3 linked regions of the Struthio camelus genome follow. The protein of the gene in region 2 purifies or fractionates together with the protein of the main gene of each other region. This does not show direct contact. Links are inferred from orthologs where the notes say so. Each region holds a gene or a part of one and is shown on either strand. Other genes may lie near its edges.

Region 1 (6,933 bases), about 13 Mb from region 2:
GACCAACAAGCAACTAACAAAATGAAACAAAAATCAAAACACAGGCCCCAGATACTTGCAGCTGATCATATTCAAGACATGTAAAACTAAGAAAGAAATGTACAGCTCTGATGACTAACACAGTATCCCTTTCATCTGCTGGCTGTACAGCACAATTGATCCGATTACTAGTTTAAGCTCTTCATTAACACACACAGTCAAGTTTTCTAAATAAATTCGAAGGCCTGTGGCATCCTGAGGCATTTCTGACCCATCAGATTCTAAAACATTTTTCAAAATAAATTCGCTTGGTTTCATACATTACCAGGAATCCAAGGCATGTTAGAAACAACCTGTTTTACATATGAAAACAAGGAAGCAAAGACATGAAATCAATTTCAAAATCAACCACTGAAAAACTCTACAGCCTTCAAATCACATGACAAGTTAAGCTAATCCACAACCCGGGATGACGGACAACATTTAAAACAAATAAAGTCCACCCAGCAAGAAGCAGTTCCTTCCTCTTCAACAAAGCTGTAGCTTCAGCAGTAACTCCTCTGTAGAGGACATGCATAGAAACAGATCTATTACAACATTTCATTATAGCCAAAGGTGTTAATATATTAACTTTCTTTTCAAATTAATTCCAATTCAAAACTAAAAAAACAAATAAATAAAATCCGAGAAGTCATTTCCCAAACTTCTTTTGGGAATTAAACAACGCTTTTGTCTCAAATTTCAGAAGCAATCCACACTAAACTTCTGCTATTTAGCCTCACCTAAAACCTAACAAGAACATTTTATAAGTTGCAGTGATACAGGCAGAATAGTTGTGAATATTCAGATATCCTTACAAGACAACAGTATGATGTTTTTAAAACAGTGCTTGCTTGTTAAACTTCCTATGAATTTGATCTATGGCCTGAATTCTATGACCTGATGCAATTCTATGATATTTAACTATTAGGCAAGAAAATAATTTTCACAGATGCTGTCTTTTTCTGCAAGTCAGCAGTACACAAGAACGCTACTGTCCCTATACTCCCTATCTTCTCTATCATTTCTTGAGCTCAAGTGGTAGTGAAATGAGAATCTAGAAAGGCAGACTTAGTCCATGTGTACCTAAACTACTCGTTATTTTTCTGAATAAATACTATCATTGAGATAATTGAGAGCAAAGCATTGAGAGCAAATATTCAGGGTAAGTATTCAGAATTTCATCCTAAACCCAAACTTACATAATCAGCCAAAATTCAGCTATCAGCTCACTAACTTTGCTTAGGAAAATATTATATACAACCACTGTGCTTAATCATTACTTAAAATAGCATTTATAGAACAACCATTTTCACCATGTTTATCACCAAAAGACACGACATTCCATTTCCTTGTCAAACATGTCATACAAGGAAGCTTGCTTTAAATAGAGGGGAAAAAAAATAGTAGAGACTTGTACACAAACGGGTCACAATTTGTAAATGTTAGTAGGTCAACACCATTTTTTCTTTGTATTAAATAAACAAAGATGCTTCAGTTGTCATTTTTTCTCAAATAGCTACTTATATAAAAAAAGAGCTTCTATATAAACACAAGCATGTGTCTATTTTTACTGACTTGAAGATATTTTGGAGGAATGGAGGCTCACAATTCATGCACTTTCATCATTTATCTTCCCAACAAGACTAGTCTATCCTTTTCCATCTCATTTGGAAGACCTAGATTTAATCTGTTTTAGGCCAATGCATTAACAGCTTTTTGCTTCCATGTTTACTGCATCTCCTCCGAGAACAGATTCAGTCCCCACTGGTACAATACTTCAAATTGAAAGTAGTGAGAAAGATTAACACTGTCTTTCTTCATGGTAACAGGGTGATGTTTAATAGGCCAATAAGGCCTATTTCCAACAGAAATAATTGTGCTATTCCAAATCCATCAATGAAACTGAAATCCAGCACAAAATTATCATCAATTACCATATTGTAACATTTTAAAATGAATATTTAACCACAAAGACAATAACTGACTTGCAAAATAATGCATTGCTTTAAAAGAAGAAAACGAAGATCAAATGACAATTTACTTACACTGTGGTATTTCTGAAACCTCTCATTTCTCTTACGCAAAATGCAATCATGAAAGGTTTTAAGCAACACATATCATAAATGGTTTGCTAACTAAGAAATTAAAGCTAATGATATTCAGCATTCCCATACTAAATTAATACATAAAATTGGTTTTAACTATTATGTTGTTTACCACTATACAGCACATGTTGAAATAGCACATGTTAAAATAAAGTGACAAATGATGAAGAGTCCTGTAATTAGAAGTCTAATCTGTGCAATGTCTGCCCATTCCAAAGTTTAAACACTACACTTTTTAATGGGTTTTCTGTTTCTGCTGAACCAGCAGATTTAATTTGAAAAGAAAGGAAATAATTTATAAGCAAAAAATTATTTGCGGGTGAGGAGAAACCTTGTCTAAACAAGTCAACAGTACTTTAACAGAGAAGAAGGGGCCAGGAATAAATTCTCCCACCAGCCACCCAGTCCTCTGAAATGGTACCACTCTTCCCCCTGCATGATGCAGTAGGTTTTTCTTCAAATTAACACCTTTCGGTATTAAATTGTAAAATTGCCTCTGGAATGCATCACAGCTCAGTATCTGTATCCAACTACAAATATGCAAGTTCTTCCCTTGCTGTGCAAACTGAAGAGAAAATATCTATAAAAACAAACAAAAACCCTACTTACTTGATTTGTCCCATAGGACAGCAAGTTCAGAGAAATGATGGCTCTCATTCTCCAGAGCCGCTCTCTGTTCGTGTGCACCACCCTTCGAATGCCTATGAAAGAGTCGATTAGCAAAACCTTCCAGTCTCTGTAGTGCTGTGGCTGTCCCTGTGCACTGGTTGCAAGGGATCTCCTTCGGAGCTGCCATCTATGCGCTCTGGCAACTCAGCAAAGCAAAAGAGAAAATATCTAACAGGAGCTGAACTCAGGGACACTAAGAGCAATGCATGCATCAAACTTCCTGTAGGCAGTGTTTTCTAACCACTACTCTCTTCTACTTCCTGTTAAGAAAAGCTCTATAATGTACTGTTTTATACTGTCAAAAGCCTCTTTTCACGTCAATTGAAAATAGTTATTTAAAAAGCTGCAAAAACTGCTCTAGCATGTGCTTTTACAGTTTAATATTTACTCACATTTGATATTAAAATATACATTTTACATTAAAATGTAAGAAACTTGTTCAGAAACTTGTTCAGAAATAAAGATCAGAAGCCAGATTTTTTTTCTAGTTTACCACAGCCACACATGAAAAAAGGAAAGTAACTACGCCGCAGCTCTCCTTGGTAAGATGGAGTACTACCGTAATCACAACAAACTTAACCAGCTGTAATATAATCATTAGTAAGCTCTCGTTTTCAATAGAACCACTTTCTAAGCAAGGAGGTTACTTGCAAAAAATCTACTGAAGAAACTATTATTTTGTTATTGCAAAAAAAAATTATTCTCCTCGTTTATGTTGAGAAAAATCAGACTAAAAGAAGCTCAATAATTCTAAAGTACACAAAAACAAGACTACACTATATTTATTCATACTGAGTTCTGCTTACTCTGGGAATGAACCAAGAGAATTTAATTTTTTCAGGGATAAACTATCAGAATGAACAGCATTGGCAGATCCTCCTTTAACAGCATATTCATTCTCCCAGCTCCAAAGGCAGCTGGAAGGAGAGTCACAAAGTCGTGGTCCCCAGCTCACGACATTGCTGGTGTAGAAGCTCCAACTGCAAGACTTGTGGAATTATGTAAGAAACTTTTTTTTTTTTTTTTTGCAAGATGTTTGGATCCTTCTAACTGCAGAATAAATCTAGAAAGCATCATTCATCATGGCTCAGAATATAGAGGAAATAAACTGAAAACAGTATTTAGCTTAGATTATATTATTTTTAAATCATATAATTTTACGTGCTTAAGATGGACAATACAAGAAATTCATTTCTGTGAAAATGGGAACACATACATTGGGCAGGTTTCCCAGTATATCGCCAGCACATAAAGTGTGGTTACTTACTTAAGAATAGTCCTAAATCTTTAAGATTTAAATAACTTGTCTCAATCTGTCTTCTGTCTTACAGTCAACACGTATTAAAGATATACCTTTTACTTTTCACCACCACACTTCTCCCTGAGTAGTTTCCAAATGTCATCAGATATCCATCCTTGGACATTACATAACTATTTCATAACAGCTTCTGGTTTTCAAGGGGAAAAAAAAACCCACTATGATGACAAAAATGCCTATGCTCATGATAAAACAATAAAGCTGAGGGCCAGGCTGTACAGATTGGACCATGTTCCTCACCACGGTCACTTACAGAGCTGCTGCCACCAGCCCCCTCCAGCAGGCGCACCACAGTTTAAGTTCCCAGAACCTGTACCCAGCGCGGAGAAGCCCTGTGCTTTCAGGCTCTAGATGCACTCTGGCGATGCAATTCTTTCTGCAGCGCCTGTCCAAAAGGCTGGGACCAACTGCCTGAACGCTCACATTTTTATGCCACATTTTGCAAATCTGGCTGAGCACCCTCTAGCTAGCCGGTGACCAGGCTACTTGGTGGGAGCAGGCTAAGGCACCACAGCCTCCCCTGGGTCTCAGCCCGTTGCAGCTCTTTTTCTACCTTCAGCCTCTCTGGCTTTTACTTCCTTTGTCCCAGGATCAATGCTGACTTCCAGGAAACCCCAGCAGGTTCGGTGCTCCTGCTGCCAGAAACATGGAACTAGGGAACGCTCCGGGGATTAGCCTGCCTTATAAGGGGCACAAACAGGCCCTGTGGATATATTATACACCACATATAACCACACACTTTATGCTAGAGTAATGCTGTGCCACTCTATATATAGTAGTATAAAAAAGAGCTAGACAAAAACAGTATGCCTATTTCCCTGCTCATTGCCTCATCCCTCTAAAACGCTCAGGGGCGAGAAGAGCCCCTCTGGATTCTCTGGCCTTGCCCCGCAGCACGTGCAAGTCGCTGAGCATCCAGGGAAGCTTGCCAAGAGACTTCAGCATCTTCTCTGACCTTGGCTGTTGCCCCCAATAAACAAAGCCCCATGCCATGAAGGTATGTTCAACTTTTCTCTCTCCCTTCCCACCACCCTTTCCTTTACAGTTCTGTAGTCTTATTTTTTATTACACTTCAGCTAAACTATTTCACCTCCCTGATCCCAAAGACAGCAACTCACAAAATTCAGTTTATGTAAGTTAAAGTCTATGTGGCCTTTATAGTCAATGGAGAGATCTGGGTATTTTCAGAGAACAACCCTGCTCACCAAAATTAAGAGCTGTGAATGCAATGAAGTGCCTAACCTAGACACCTGGATACTTGAACTAGGTCCCAAAAAACAGGAAGCAGAAATATCGATCCTTGGAGATCCAAGAACTGAACGGGTTTAGGTAAAAACAGGCATCAAAAAAGGAATGTTAGAAGATATCCAAAGAGAGAACCTGGATTTACCTTTAATTGCCAAAATTTTACAAACTACTGCCAGTGAACACTGTCACAGAACAAGGTCTGCTCCACACACGCAAAACACAAAAAGAAAGTATTGGTCACATCCATAGTTTGTTATTCAAATATCGATACACAGACAGTAACACACTTTCCTAGTACACACAAGCAGACCAGCACTGTCCAGGACAACAAAGTACACTACCACACTGATTTTCTGTGAAGTAATCCATCTCCCTCATTCCTCTACTGTTTAAAGGTGGACCCTCCTATTTCCTTTCATCTAATCATTCATCTTACTGACATACTAATCTTACAAATCAGCATAGTATTAATTTATTGGCACCAAGTATTTTCTCTGTTACATATGAGGCACGGACCACACAAGCTCCACATAGGCAGTATGTTACACACACACACACAGAGCTCAGTGACTGACGATGCTCTATCAATGACAAAATTCTGGGGCTCAGCTTGTAAAAGGATTTCCATTTGCCAGCCAGTAATGCTTTTCCCTTAGAACAGTTTGTGAAACTTTAAACACTACTAAATGTTTACATAGACACATGCAAGCAGCCTTAATCTCATCTTACTCATGCTTCATGCGGGAAGAAGAAATGGAGGCAGCTTTGATGGAAAGCTGTGTAGTGTTATCACTATGCTACTGTGGTTAAGGCAGTACGCTCTCCTGAAAGAGCAAAACAGTCGTACTTCATCCAGACCAGAAGTCGTCCATGTCCTACCAACTCAGTGCTACAAAAGCTGGATCAGGTATGGGTCAGCTCAGCTGCACAGATGTGTCCATATCACATCAGGCCTGATTAGGATACATTTACTGTCATAGAACAATTTTTTTCTTTTTTTCCTCTAGCGACAGTCTCTGCCTCTAGGGAACTGTCCCGTCCCTAGGAAACTTTTCACTTTGTCACCAAAAAAAAAAAAAAAAAAAAACACTTTATTTTAGGCCAGCTTTAACAGAAAGATAAAACTCTGTTATACTATTATCTAAAATGGTTTATGCTTGAAGACATTAAAACTAGCCAGCTGCCTCAGACAGTTGCGGTCCAGGTCGGCCCCACTGTTCAGCAGCCAGGCAGTGCTGAGAAGCACCCCTCTGCTCACCCAGCACAGCCCCACGCAGCCCGGGGCACCGGGGAGCTCCTGGGGCCGGCACGCAACGCAGCACCATCGAGCCGCGGTTCAGCATGTCTGCTGCATCCCTCCCAACTGCTCCAATCACAGTCAATCCAAACTAGCTAGGCAGTCAACTTAAGACGTGTTTTACTTGCACTGAAAAAGTTAGTTGTTTCAGTGTTTCTAACCGATTTCTAAAATTTCTGTTCTACAGGCAATAATGAAACTCCAACTTCTCTTTCCACTTAACCCTATCACCTAAGTCCTGGCAATATTTTAAAATATATTAAAAAGCCAGGGAG
Region 2 (7,397 bases):
GCGCCCACCACCGGCTCGCGCAGCCCCGGTGGCACCCACGGGTGCCCGGCCGCGCGCCCCCTGCCCGACCGCGGGCCCTGCGCTCCTCTCTCTCTCCGCAGGGACCCCTGCAGCGGCGAGCGGCCGGCCGCGCCGCCCGGAGCCAGCCGCATGGCGGGTAAGGGGCGCCCCGCCAGCCTCCCCCCCCGTCCCCGCGCCCGCCGTCGCCCTGCCCCGCGGAGGGCGAGCGAGGGGCGGGCGCCCCAAAAGCCCGCGTCCCCGCCGGCGCACACCCCGGAGCAGGGCGGCGGGGGGGGGGCGGCGCGTGCAGCGGCTCCTCTGACGGCCGCCCGCCTCGCTCCCCGCCAGCGTCCCCGGGCGATGCCCCGCCGGGGGCCGCGGGCGAGCGCGACGAGGCCGCCGAGCCGCCGCCGGCCGCTGGCCCCCCGCTCGGCCCCGGCCCGCCGCGCGGCCCCTCGGCGCACAGCTCTCTCCTCCGCGACCTGGCGACGGGCCCCCCCGCGCAGACGCAGACTTCGCTGCGGGACTTCGAGCAGGTCAGCCGCGTGCCGCCCGGCTCGTCCCCGCCGCCCAGGAGGCGAGGGCGGCTCCCCTCCCGCTCCCTTCCTCGCCGCGGGGTGGCCGGGGACCCCCGGGGGGGCCGGGGAGGGGACGGCCGCGCTCCCTCCCGCCGCCGGCTGCCGCGCGCCCGGGTTGGGGGGGGGGGGCCGCCCCGGGGGGCTCGGGTTTCACCGCTCGCCTGTCCCCTCTCCGCCAGGGATTCCTCAAATAGCTCCCGGAGAGAGAGGGGGGGAAAAAAAAAAAGGGAAGCGGCGGGGCGGCTGCGGCCACCCGGCGGGAGCTGGGAGCTGGGAGCAGGCAGGGCGGGCGCCGGGCGGCCGCGTCCCCAGAGCCTCGTCCCGCCGGGCCGGGCCGGGGGCGCCGGGCGAGGGGGGCGGGCGGGGATGCCCCCCCCCATGGAGCGCCCGCCATGGCTAACGGCTACCGCACGCTCTCGCAGCACCTCAACGACCTGAAAAAGGAGAATTTCAGCCTCAAGCTGCGCATCTATTTCCTGGAGGAGCGCGTGCAGCAGAAGGGCGAGGGCAGCCGGGACGAGGTGTACCGGCGGGTGAGCGGGCCGGCGGGCACGGCGGGTTGTCCCTGTGCCGGGAGGGGCACGGGGTGCCGGAGCGGGTCGGGGCGCCGGGGAGGGCGTCGGGGTGCAGCGGCAGAGCCGGGGTGTGGACGGGAAGCGGGGAGCGAGCATGCCGGCGGTGGGCGTCTCACGTCCTGCTTTGGGGTGCTGTGAGCCGTCTCGTGGGACTTCCACAGCCCCCTTGCTTTCTTTGACCGGAGAGGGAAGAGCGATGGGAAAGCCAGACGCGGACCCGCCGGCAGCGAAACGCCCTGTCGGCTCCTGCTGTAGCTCCCGTGGGGAAGGCACTGACGTTGGGGCTGGGCCGGTTGCCCCGTGCCGGCGCCGAGCACGGGCCTCCCGGGCCCTCTGGCCGCCTGGGCTTCTCGAACGCTCCCTGGCTCGGGGAGGAGAAGCGCGGCGGCGCCGAAATGGGGCTGCCGGCCTGTGCCGCGGGCAGCAGGGAGCCGAGCTGATAAATAACCCCAGGTGCTAGGAGAGCCGTCCGGCAGTGGCGGGGGGGGGGCGTGTGGCCGAGGGCACAGTTGCCCTCTCCGTAGCCGCAGGGCTGCGGAGGGGCGCGGGGCAGGCGGGCGCCGGGGCTGGGCGCCGGGTACGGGCAGACAGCTGGAGCGGGTACATCCCGTCCCGGCGCCTGCCAAAGCTGCGCGGGGCAGGCTAAAATAGCACCCGCGCCGCCGGGCTCGGCGGCGCGGCGCCAGCAGCCAGAGCCAGCTGGAGCAACAGCCCGAAAAGCCGGAGCAGCCGCGGCGGCTCCCACCCTCCCCGCGGCGCTGCGGGCCAGGGCAGCGGCTCCTGGGTCCCCGGCGCGGCGTGGGGCTGCCCTGCAGAGCACCCCGGTGCCATGCTCACCGCCCCCGGCCTCCCCTGCAGAACATCGAGCTGAAGGTGGAGGTGGAGAGCCTGAAACGGGAGCTCCAGGAGAAGCAGCAGGCCCTGGATAAGACATGGTAGGTGGGGCTGGCCGAGGCTCGCGCGGGGACGTGCGGGGTCCGCAGCGCCGGTGGCGCTTGCAGATGGGCACTAGGGACACCAGGTGTCGTGGCGCTGGGCGGTCAGTCCCCAGAGCGAGCCAGGGCTGCGGGCAGCGGTGGGGATTGGCAAAGGGGCCATGTGTCCTGCTGGGAGGGCAGGGCGGCCCGCGGGGCTCCTCTTACATGCCCGCTGCAGCGTAACCCGGCACGGCTGTTGGCGAGCCAAAAATAAAGGGCAGCACCTGTTTGCTGAGGGAGGGCGAGCGCTGCGCTCCGGGGGCCGCGGCGCAGGTACCTCGCTGTCCGCACAGCAGGGCTCTGCTGGGCACCGGGCGGCTGGGGGCATTTCCCTCCTTTTGGAGAGGTGCAGAGACAGCTTTGGTGTTGCAAAACATGCCACGTGCTGCCTAAGCTCCAAGCGGGACCTAACGACGCCAGATGAGTCAGTGTCCCAGGACTGTAGCTTTCCGGGTTTAAAATACACCATGCCTGGGTGCTCTTGCAAGAAAAGCAGCCGGTGCCCACTGGCGGGCTGGGGTAGGGGTGGGCAGGCTGGAGATGCTGGAGCAGCTGGGGCGGCTCGGCTCTCCCATCCCAGGCGGTTTGGGGTTGGGGCTTTTGCAAGCCTGGTGTGCCCCGCGGGAAGAGCAGAGCCCTGGCTGGTGGGGACGGGCATGCAGGGCCCAGGGCTTTGCATGAACCCCATGCTGGGTCCCGCTTGACCGGTCCCCGCGGTGCAGGTCCCTTCCCGAGGTCTCCCGTCCCTCTCCCAGAGAAGGGACGGTGCGGGGCTGGGGAGCCCCTGGCACAGCGGGGGCCATGCCGTGCCATGCCGTGCCTTGCAGGGTGGCCGCGGAGAACCAGACGAACCGCAGCGAGGCAGCGCTCCGGCAGCAGTACGAGGAGAGGCAGCGGGAGTCGGAGCACGTCTACGAGCTCCTGGAGAACAAGATCCAGCTCCTGCAGGAGGTGAGCGCCGGACGGCCGGGCGCGCGGCTGGCCGCCGGCACCCCCTCGTCGGAGGACGACGAGGGCTGGGAGGGGACCGGGGACGTCCCAGCGGCGGGGCAGGGGAGCCGCGGTCCCTCCGGCCTCACTTCCCGCTACCCTGCAGGAAGCTAGGCTGGCCAGGAGCGAGGCGGAGAAGGCCACGGCGCTGGCCAAAGCCGAGACGGAGCGGTGCCAGGAGCTGGCCGCGAAGCTGAAGGAGGCGGCGAGGAGGAAGGAGGAAAGCGGGCAAGCGGCTGACAGCAGCGCTCTGGCCCACAAGGACAGGTAGGTGGCCCAGGCCCCCCCACCCTGCGTGGCCAGCCCGTGCCCCCCGGCACCCCGGCGCTGCGCGGGGCCGGCCTCGCGCCTGAGCCTGCCCCGCCGTTGCCTTCCCTCGCAGGAGGATCGAGGAGCTGAGCCGGGAGCTGGCGGCCAGCAACCAGCTCGTGGAGCTGCTGTCGGCCGAGCGGCGCGACCCGCGGCGGCGGCCGGAGGGGCCGGCGGCCGCCCAGGCGCAGGTGGGTGGGCCGGCAGGGCGGCGGGCTCCCCCTTACTGCCCCCGTCCCCTTCGGGGGCTGCTTCGCCGCCTGCCCCGGCCTCCCCGCGGCCACGAGGCGGCAGCAGCCCGGCCCTCGAGCGCGCCCGGGGCAGGGCAGCCCGCCCGCAGGGTAAAACCCGGGTGTGAACACACCCGACGGCAGCAGCGCGCCCGGGGCGGGGGGGGGAGCCAGGGCCCCCAGGGGTCACGGCCATCCCCGCCGGCCGCGGGAGCTCCGGGACGGCACGACCCGGCCGGGGGTGCGGGGCAGGGCCCCGGCCTCGGGGCTGGCGCCGGCCGTGGGGCCGCGACGTGGGGCAACCCCGGCGCTGGGCCCACCCGACGGGTGCTGGGGCGGGGGGGCGGGGGGGAGGAAGGCTACTGCGCATGCGGGCCCGCCTGGCCGGGGCGACTACAAATCCCGGCAGGCGCCGCGGCCGCCGCGCACGCGCGGAGCTGCCGCCCGCCGCCATCTTGAAATCTGAGCCACAAGCCGGGCGCCGCCGCCGTGGCAGGAGCATCGTCGGCGAGGCGGAGGCGGGAGCGGGAGTGGCGGGGGCCGTAGGGCCGGGACGAGGGGGGCTGCGAGGAGACGGGGGGGGAGCCCCGGGGCGAGGGGGCAGGTCGCGGTAAGGGGGGCCCGCGAGGAGCGGGGCAAAATCCGGGGTGAGGGGCCTGGCCGAGGCGAGGGGGCCCGTGAGGAGCAGGGGGAGCCCTGGGCTGAGGGGGGCCGTGAGGAAGGAGAGGGGGCATCCCCGGAGAGGGGCTGGGCTGGGCTGGGGGTGTTGTAGAAGGGCAAGTTCCTGCAGTGCGAGGAGTCCCTGGGAGTCCCAGGGTGTGACCCCAGGCGGGGGGAGCTGGGGTGAGGTGTGTTAGGGGCTCGTGGCCTGGGCGATGCGCTGAGGGAGCGGTGGAGGCCTGGGGAAGGTCTCCTGAGAACCCCCAGGAGTAGTTGGGGGTGCTGGTCAGGAGGGAAGATGAAGGAAACCTGCCGGATTTGCGCCCGGGAGCTGTGCGGCAACCAGCGGCGATGGATCTTCCACACCACGGCCAAGCTCAACCTGCAGGTGCTGCTCTCCCACGTCCTGGGCAGGGAGCTGTGCCGGGATGGCAAAGCCGAGTTCGCTTGCAGCAAGTGTGCCTTCATGCTGGACCGCATCTACAGGTTCGACACGGTCATCGCCCGCATCGAAGCCCTCTCCATCGAGCGCCTGCAGAAGCTGCTGCTGGAGAAGGACCGCCTCAAGTTCTGCATTGCAAGCATGTACCGGAGGAACAATGATGACTCTGGCCCAGATGACAGAACTGGGGATGGGACCGTGGACCTTTCTAACCTGCCCGATGTTCGGTATGCTGCCCTCCTTCAGGAGGACTTTGCTTATTCTGGGTACGAATGCTGGACGGATCATGAAGAGCACAGCCTGGAACCACACAGCTGCCACGCTTCAGAGGGAGCGAGTAACCGCCCGCGGCGCTGCCGTGGCTGTGCCACGCTGCGAGTGGCCGATGCTGACTATGAAGCGATTTGCAAAGTGCCGCGGAAGGTGGCCAGAAGTATCTCCTGCGGGCCGTCCAGCCGGTGGTCAGCAAGCATGGGCAATGAAGAATCATCTGTGTGTGACACTGCAGAGTCATCTGGTGCCAGAGGGCCAGTGGATGGGGAGAGCATGGAGGAAGGCACGCCTGCGTCCTCCATTGAGTCGCTGGACACAACTGTGGAGGCTAGCCCTCCGCAGCAGAAAGACGAAGATGCAGATAAGGGGGTGAAAGGGAGCGGGAAATGTGACGATTTTGCAGAGGACCGCATGACCCCGAACTCTTCGCTGAGTGGGAATAGGCTGGAGTTGGCCCTCAGCTTGATCAAGGCTTTAGACTACAAACCCATTCATAGTCCCAGAGGCAGCAGACTACCTATTCCTGTGAAATCCAGCTTGCCACCTCCCAAACCCAGCCGTGACTTGGCAGATGGAAGTGCTCCTGCTGGCTTAGTGTATGCTGGTTCTGGTTTCCTGAATGCAGACAGGAAATCTCTTTCCAGAGCCCATTTGGGTCTTTCCTTGGAGATCTCTGACCTGCAAGAGCTGTGGGACGATCTCTGTGAGGATTATATGCCGCTTCGGGTACAGGTAGAGGTCATTGTGTAGCCTTTCAATTGAGCAGCGTCCCTGCAGCTCGACTCTGAGTCCATTAGGAATTCCTCCGCGTTGAGATAATACGGATAGCCACGTGTCACTGAACCACGGGCTAAGAATAGGCAGCTCAGTCCTTTTTAGGTGCGGTCCCTCTCCCTGTCGCTCTCCTGTGATATGGTTCCTTGTTGTTTTCTGGGAAATTAATCTTTCCGTCAGTCATATCTCCCTGTGAATGCAGGGTTCTGGCTGGGTCTGAGGTCTTTGCATGCTTTCTCATTTTCTGCTGAGAAAATGCCAGTTTCACTTCAGCTGTCTCTTTAAACAGTTGATTTGGATTTTACCCACAACTAAAGGGAGCGTTTTAAGCTGCTGGGCATGTGTTTTCCCGCAAACGTTTTTTCTTTGTGCCTTGGTAATGGCACAGTGTCAGGCATGTCTGTCTTCAGAGCCTTGCCTCAAACCAGCCCAACAGGCAGGTCTGTGCAGTGATCTGTGGTGTCTGCCCTAAGGAGAAGGTGTTCTCTTTGCAGGTGGATTTGTGCTAGTGGATTACTTTAGGGCTGGTATTCTAGATAATTGGTTTTATTTTTTTGATCCTTTAAAAAGATTCGTCAATTAATGGCAGTTATTGCTGAGAGGCGGTGAGCTCTCTTGCTTTCACAAGATGCCTTGGTACTGTTATCTGCTTAGATTTTAGTCCTGCTTAGATTTTTGTAGTGCTGGATTGTCTCTGCTCTGCTGGCTTTAATAAAATCTTCATTAGTATGCAGTCAAAAAGCTGAACTTGTTAACTCCTCTGTCACTTCCCTTAATGAAGGTCTCAGTCAGCTTTAATTCAGGAATATCCATGTCAGCCTAATTGCATTCACATTAGCAGCCTTAGTGCTGCCTAATACTCTAGGTAGCCTCAGGGAGTAGAAAAAATGCTTGTTTATTACTATGGCAGCTGTAGCTGTACCGAGCCTCACTGCCTATTCGGTGAGTGCTGCTTACTCTCCCATCTGCTCGGGTGTTTTCCAGAGCTGTGCGCTCCTTTCATAATAGTCTGCTCGAGAAATGACATTACGGAGGAATGGAAAACAGCAACATTAATTTTCACGCGGTGCACTAAGGCCTTGCGTTTGTAGCCTGCGATTGAAGATGTGAAGCAGGACATAGATGCTGCTGCTGTATTCTGTCAATTGCTGCTCATTTTTGCTCCTAGGGACGTATTTTCAGCATGAAAATAGAGTCTCTCTTAACAGAGCAGACAGTGATCAGTGTGACACATGAGTAGCTTGGCTTTGTGTCATGCCTTGCCATCCTTGTATCGTGCAATTGCTTAGAGGAGTTTCTTTGAACTCTGGCCTCTGCAGTACAGCAGTCCTGGCAGGGAATTCATCCTGCTGAATTCTTTACTTCCCATTTCTTGCCATCGCAACTACCCATCAGCAACTGGTGACCTCAGCGCTGGGTTTGGCAGAAGGGGAAAGCGCTTGAGTGTTCGGATGGTTTTAGTGGAAAGTCAGATGCTGCTAGTCAGCTAAATGGTTCTTGTGTAAATGATTTTTTTTTTTTTTTCTTTTCTGTTTCTGTATAAACATTACTCTTTCTAGAAGCCAGGTGCTGCTCTCCAGTGATTTGTA
Region 3 (7,221 bases), on a different chromosome or scaffold from region 2:
CCCGACAGCCTAAATTCACACTCACCAGGATGTGACAAAGATAATAAATTTGGGGTTCCTTTCCTTTGCCTTCTGGCTTCTGATTTTTTTAGAGGTTGTATTTTTAAAGGATATTTTTGCAAGGACTAATGCTGGTCCTTGGGCGTTGCATCAGCATCATGTCCAGGCTGCTTCCCAAAGCTGCTCTTCTGGCTTTGGCGCTTTAGGACAGGTGACACTGTTAAAATTGGCCTTTCTTTCAGGTGGTTGTTTTCAGTCTGTCCAATCCCAATTTGCATCACTGAGACAGGCTTGCAAACTTCTCCCAGGCATATGGAGATAGCCATGTCTGTTCATCACCAGATTCCTTCACATCCTGTGATCTTGCCTTTCCTTTAGTGTCTGTCAGGTTTAGGTGAGCTCAGTTCATAATATCTTTGGCGTGCCTGTGTTCAACCACCTGGTATTTTACTCCTGACTAAAAACAATAGTAGCTTGAGGCTGCACTCCTAGACTCCCCCTTCCTTGCCCTCCTCCTGTGCTACACATACGTGATGCCTGGGAGTCCTGCTGCCTGGCTCATACTGCAGTGGGAAATCTTAGACGCTGGCGGACACAGGGAAGGCAGCCAAACCTGGCAGTATTGGTTGGTTGTGGTTCACATAGTCTGTATTCTGCTGCTTATTTCCACCAGCATGCTCTTCTCATACAGCTTGCTGTATTACTTGGATTTCTGCTCAGCGTGTTCTTCTCTGACACCAAGAACGAAAGCATGTTGGTGTAGATGGGTGAGCTTTGTTATTGAAACTGAGACTTTTTCTGCTTGGACTTTTGCATTGGAAATAACATCGTGATTAATCTACTCCTGGCTTTGTTCTTTTTATGACCAAGGGATCAGTTTTTGGAGGACTTCCTGCTCTTTTAGAGGGACTTAGCAAGTTGATTAATCTGTAGCAACAGTAACTAAAGTCACCAAAGTTTTTATAGTGACCAGATGGAGATAAGAAAGTACTCGCAAATGGTAGTTGCTGAAGATGCTGGGTGCCAAATTTGCAAACTGTTTTTAAAGAGATCATCTGAGCAAAAGCATTCTGTGGGCTCTACAGTCAGCTTGGACATGAACCTCCTCTTTGTTTGGCTGAACAAAAACCAGAAAAACAAAACAGTGAAGGCAGTTAGATTTTGTTTGCTTGCCTTTGTCCCCCCCTTCTCCCAAATCACTGTAAAATTAGGAATAATGCCAGTGAATTCTGTAGTGATTTAGTGGACTAAAGCTGGTGCATAGAAGATGAAAGACAAATCAGTATGGTATTGCTGTTTTCAATAACCAGTCCATTCAGGTTTGACTTTCATTCTATTTTCTTTCTCTGTTCTCGATTTAGGGAGAGTTCTTTCATCCCTGTTGTGAATTAGAGTACCAAGTATTGCTATAGCCACAGAGCTAGGTGTTTGTTGGCACCACGCTTCTCCTTGGAAGATCTCTGGTTTGCCCCAGCGTTGGCTGTATCCCTTCTAAAGAAGTTTTACTGCAGCCTCTTGGTTGTGTCTCAGGTTACAGATGTGCCACCAGTTAAATAGCATGTAAGCAAGGATAGATGCTGGGCACTGGGCCCTGCTGTTAAGTGACAAATTTCCTGGATGTACGAGCCATAAAGTTTGCCACAAAAAAGGGTTAATTCAGACCTCTCCCTTCTTACAAAAGGTTTTTGTCTGCTGTGTGGATTGGCTGGGGAACAGCTCTCATCAAAGCCTGTCATGTGAGCACTGCTGCATGAAACAGATATGGTGTCGAAACCCGCAGGCTGTTGGGAAGGGACCAGTGATGAAGCTGCATAGATGACATCTGTGCTGTACAGTGTACAGGGCAAGGGCAATGTCACTCAATGGAAAAAATAAGTGTGGGGACTTTCTGGGGGCTGAGAGCACCAGAGCTGACTTTGGTCCACCTGAACTTGCTGTCCTTGTAGCTACATCACTTGAGTGCAGCATAGTCGCCACCTGGGGTGGAGCGTGTCTGGCCCTTGGCCTTTGTCCCCAGTCTTCAACAATCACATGGGAGAGGTGCAAGGTACTTGACGTGAATGTGAAACACGTGTTGCCGCGGTCAGTTATTTACTCCTGCTGGTCCTAGAAGCTTCCTTGTGGGTTTTTGCATGAATACACTCTCTCTAAGTTGAGTGAGGGCTTTGTGGTCCAGCCTGTTGTTTGTAAAGAGCACTGAGAGCCACTGCACAAACATGGCTACGTGACTGCAGTAGAAGGTGATGAGCTTGTAAGGCTTAGGCAAACGTAGCCCAGCTTGAATAGGCATCTCCATCCCTTCAGATGCCATCCCATGGTTGGGAGGCAAGGGAGGAAAGATGAGGGCTTTCCAGGCTGATGAAATGAAAGTGAGTGAAAATACTCGATGGCAAGCTCATTTCTAGTAGCGATGTCTCCCCAGCTCTGAATCAGCCTTTCTCTCTGGCAGTGACCAAGCCCTCACTGCTGCTTGTGTCTAGTTTGCCTTGCTAATCTGGATCTTCCCTGCCTTTCCGAGGCTGTCTCAAGATGGTGTTTGCAGTTTTTGTGAGGCTGCTCGTGAGAAGCGCAGCAGGACGGGCCGTAAGTTGCTGATAGCTGTGGAGCAGGCTGGGCCCCCTTAGCAGCATGCTCAGCTGATGCCACGTGGCAGCGACCTAAGACTAGGGTCCCTCCGGAAGGGCTGATGTTCGCTAGCCTCCCATAGGTTCCCTCTGAACACCCCAGCTGATGCTTCCACCTTCTCTAACCCTTTTAGCATCGCTTTATACACACACGCTTTGATTTGACTGCAGCTGGCGGCGGCGTGGAGTCTGCCCAGAGGGCAGCGAGCTGCCCACAAGCGCCGTTCCTTCAGGCCTTGCCAGCCCCTATCCCGAGAGCAAACAGGCCTGGCCAGGGAAGGGCTGGGTTGGAGCAGTCCAGACATTTGCTAATTCCCATGGGTGTCGCACCTCTACCTGCAGAGCCTCTCCTGCAGCCACCTCCCTCCGCAATCGCTGCTGCCGGTCCCTGGGGAGGGTGGGACGCAGGCAGTCGGGGAGTAGCGAGGATGCACTGCACGGTCACGATGAACGCTGGTTCTCTCAGCAGTCAGGAGCTCTTCTGGGCCTTTGTTAAAGCCACAGTCCTGGAGCGAGGCGTTTGGAAAGGGGTAACTTGTGCAAAGCTACCTGATGGGGGATAAAACCCGCCCTAAACAAACCGGCTTGAAAGTCTGCCTGTGGGATGACAGCAACTGTTCCCTCCCGACCATCTCCTTTAGGCTGAGATACGGGGAGGCAAGCAAGGCATGTCTTCGGTGCTTTAATAAGCTGTCCCTAGCTGAGGTGGTTTGATGTCGTTTTTTTTTTACCTTCGCTTTGTGTGGTTATTTCTGGCCAAGGGAAGCTTAAGCCTTCAGTGGGTGTTTGGTATGTCAATAACTATAATTAAGCTTTTGTGGTTCTCTTGCAAACTCTGGAATCTATAATTTTCAGCATAGTCCCCTCCTAGTATTCCTAGGGGGAGAGGGGGGTCTTTGTTGGATTTAAAATAAAAATTTTTTTAAAAAAGTTATAAAATAAAATGCTGATCAGTGCTGTTTACAAATATTTTAATTCCGTGTTATTTCCCCTTAAAAAAAAAAAAAAGGAGGGGGGAGGAAAATAGAAACCTTGGCATTTCTTGCTATCTTCCAACTACTTTGGGGAAGGTTTTACACAGAAACTAGTTTGTTCCTGTTGTTTAATAATGGCATGTCAGGAGAGAGAAAAAAAAAAAAACAGGTCAAGATGAAGGGGTGAAGAGTACAGAGAAACTGTTTATTTTCTCCACAAGGTCCCTTTGCTGACCGTGTACCGAGGCCAGGCGTGTGTTTTGCAATACTTACCGAGTGCAATGCGTGTTGAGCTGAAGCTCGGTGGACTTGTGGGGCTGCAGAGCAGGAGTCCTGGGCTCTTTTCCTTGCTTTGCTACTCACCGTAATTGGGACGGGACAAGTTACTAATGGCCTGTTTTTTTCCGAGGTGGGGTGGGATGCGCAAGCGCTCAGGGATTTCTGGGGAACCTGTGACGGCTCAGGCATCTCTTTCAGAATTGCGCCTTTTAGTCTTTGGGGCTTTCTGCATATCCAGCTGGTAAATGAGGGAAAACTGTGTGGGTGAGTGATGAACTAGGGATCACATTAGTAATTGCAAAGTGCTTTCAGGATGCTTTGATGAAAGGCACGGTAGGTGCATCAAAGCGTTTTTTGTACTCGTGACCTGTTTGCCGTGTGTTTGATGGGGATGGCTGGTTTGGGTGTTTTCTGTTTGTTATTTTAGGGAAGGCTGAAATGAGAGCCACGTTACCCACATCAGTTACCTACTGAGGATGCATTAGCCGTTGGACCGCGCGGCTATCAGGTGCGCAATATCAGCATTAAAGAGAGAGCACTGTATCCACTCCCTGCCTGGGGCACATCCACCGAGGAAAACACTAACAAAGAGTTGTTGCGTATTCAAGTCTTTGAAGATGTAAAGTACTAAATAGTCTCGCTTATTCTGTTCTGCTGATTAACGCAAGTCTTGCCGTGAATTTTGGACCGGCTTGTGTGGTAAAGCTGGGATTTGGTGGGAAAGGAGACAGAGCCATTTGGAGAAGAGTTTCCTATGAGACACTGAGAAATAGAGTGAGATGAAAAGCTGCCTTTTAGGTATAAACAAGCAAAAAAAAAAAAAAAAAAGCTTAATGTTAGCTCACAATAAATCCTAGAGAAGAACAATATAAGAGAAGAAGGATGGGTGTTCAGGCTTAATATGAAGTGAGATGGTATTGACAAAATATACTTTTTGTATGAGGAAAATCTTTAAGTGTGGTGAGTTTGCCAGTGGAAAAGTTTGTAAATGACGCATAAATGAAATGTTCCATATGAAGAGGGATTTGACGGTTTTCTGAGAAATTGGAGAGTAAACACTATCTCTCTCTTGGTTTTGCAGTGTAAAACTTGACCTTGATCTAACCCTAGTCAATGACAAGGCTCCTCTTCACTCCCAGAGACTTTGGGAAGATAGGAAACAGGCTTTAAAACATTTTGATTTGGTCAAATGAGGACTTACTGCCTTGGTTACATTTCTGAAATATGTAAGGGCCAAATTCTCAGTGCTGTTACATGAATAGAAGATTCATCTGAACTCACTGAAGTTCATTGCAGTTCTTCTGCTGTAACTTTGAGCAGTGGAAACGGTGGATTTTGCCTGGTGGATTTTGCTCGCTAGTTTGAAGCTGTTCATGCAAGCCTCTGTCCGCATGTTATTTAGAAGTAGGAGGAAGTTGCCATAGTTGGACTGGGACAATTTAACAAATAACAGGAAACTTACTGTGTTTATCTTCCTGATGTGCTTTGTAATGTAAAGTCAGATTTACTTTGCTAATATTCAATCCCTCCCCACTTTTTTTTTTTTAAGGGCAGAGAGGAATCTATGGAGCATTCAGTGTTTATGTTTTTATTTCTATTTGCAAGTACTTACAAATCTGCTGCAAGTTCTCTACGTGGCGAATGGGGGATGCTTGGCTGCAATCAGTGGTACTCCGTCAATTTACGTCAAGAAAAAGTTTGGTCCTTTAAACGCTCCTAAACCACATCAGGAGAGCTGATACATTGCCAGCTCTAGTAGCTAGCCCAGGAAACGATTTTTCAGCAGCCTAGGGTAAAATACATCCCAGTGACCCTTTTTGCTATACAAACTTTAGCTATCTTGTGCAAAAGGCTTCAAAGTCCTTTCTGAAAACAATTTAATACCACAGTAATAGTGACTTTCTTAGGTAGGGTTGAACAATAGATGCTTTTGATAGGAAAGTTATAAATAAAGGCTTCTTGTTCCATCCTTAAGCACAGTGCGGAGATGCTAATCATGCTGCAGACATAATACTGCAGTTGGCTGCCATGGAAGTAGCTCACACTGAAAATTCAAGCATTGCAGAGCTGTATGAGAGTCAGCCCAGGTGTGTGCTTTGGTAGGATTTGCCTTTGGCAGAGGGAAACTACCTTCAACAGACATGTTGGTGGTGGGATCAGGGTACCTAATGCTCGATTATTATTTTAATGAAAGGGTTTATGAATCAGACAAAACAGACAAGCCCCAGAGCCTCATTGTAGGTGGAGGGGGAAGACCAGCAAGGCAATTTGTCACAGGCAAAAAGCAAATCTCTTATCCATAGCCCTTTTCTTTTCAAAGGCACAGTATAGCAGAAAGGCTGAAGTTTGCCATGGGTTTATACAAGCAAAAAGTCTTACTAAAATCAGAGCATGTTCTAAAGGCCTGAGAAGTCAATGCAAATCTTTCCGTTGGCCCTTAACAGACTTTGGATGAGCTTTTGGGAGAGCTAGAACAATGCTGATTAAATTGTTTATTCTGTATCTAACTTGCTGGAATGTTAACCGCTTCCGCTCTGAGGGTTCGACCTGAATCAGGGCTGAGCCGGGTGCATCCTGAGCCAGCTTTTTGTGGGAATGGAGACACTCCAGCCCCTTACGTACCTGAGCCTAGCTTCTGTTAAATACAGCGATGGGTCAAGCAGCATGCAAAGGCTCCTGAGCTTTTGGTCCTCAATGGAAGCTCCCACTGTGAAGTCACTTTGATGCACTCTGTGCAATACAATTGCATTTAAATTACAAAAAAGAAAAAAAAAATAATCTCCCCAGCTCTCAAAACAAGCAAGCAAGCAAACAAAATCTCCTTCCGTGAAATCCATTTCAATCACTTCATTTCATTTCCCTCCCCTCCAGGGAGAGGGGTTTTATTTCACCGGTGAGTATATAAATATTGACTTGATTTTTTTTGGAATTGGAGGAAGAGAGACACAACCAGGTCTCTTATTAGTTCTTACCCAAACATCAGTAAATACAGTCTTTCTGCAATGGCTACAGTTTGGAGAGCTTTACCAAATACTATTGCTATTGAAGTGGAGAGAGCGAGAATGAACAGATGTGAAGAAGTGTGTTTGGAAGGAAAAGAGCCTATTAGCTTTGAAGCAGATTTGTATACTCTTGGTTAATATACTAACTGTTTCAGAAGAGAACTTCACTGTGAAAATGGGCTGTGTTTCTGTTTTATGTGTTAGCAATTCAAGAGAAGTATGAAGAAATCTAGCTTTGTTGTGTTCTAAGTGGCAAAGATTATGTTTCATTCAATGCAGATAAAGCGCTAGGAATTGTCTGTTGGACTCCGGAAGATGTATTTGAATTGCATGCTCAATCAG

What was found.
Region 1: the proteins of PDE4DIP (region 2) and PRKACB purify together in Homo sapiens (affinity purification with mass spectrometry; 5 studies listed by BioGRID and IntAct, counting the BioPlex papers as one, with this or other methods). This does not show direct contact. The link is inferred for Struthio camelus from reciprocal best matches to the Homo sapiens genes PDE4DIP and PRKACB.
Region 3: the proteins of PDE4DIP (region 2) and CDK5RAP2 purify together in Homo sapiens (affinity purification with mass spectrometry; 3 studies listed by BioGRID and IntAct, counting the BioPlex papers as one, with this or other methods). This does not show direct contact. The link is inferred for Struthio camelus from reciprocal best matches to the Homo sapiens genes PDE4DIP and CDK5RAP2.

Annotation. Positions count from the first base shown.
Region 1 is NC_090949.1:21,796,113-21,803,045, forward strand, and holds the start of PRKACB (cAMP-dependent protein kinase catalytic subunit beta), read right to left. Parts: upstream 3,004-6,933; 5' UTR 2,923-3,003; coding exon 2,736-2,922; intron 1-2,735. UniProt on the Homo sapiens protein: Mediates cAMP-dependent signaling triggered by receptor binding to GPCRs.
Region 2 is NC_090949.1:9,276,635-9,284,031, reverse strand, and holds the start of PDE4DIP (myomegalin), read left to right. Parts: upstream 1-4,392; 5' UTR 4,393-4,617; coding exon 4,618-5,766; intron 5,767-7,397. UniProt on the Homo sapiens protein: Functions as an anchor sequestering components of the cAMP-dependent pathway to Golgi and/or centrosomes.
Region 3 is NC_090961.1:7,999,788-8,007,008, reverse strand, and holds the start of CDK5RAP2 (CDK5 regulatory subunit-associated protein 2), read right to left. Parts: upstream 3,004-7,221; 5' UTR 2,998-3,003; intron 1-2,997. UniProt on the Homo sapiens protein: Potential regulator of CDK5 activity via its interaction with CDK5R1. Negative regulator of centriole disengagement (licensing) which maintains centriole engagement and cohesion. Involved in regulation of mitotic spindle orientation.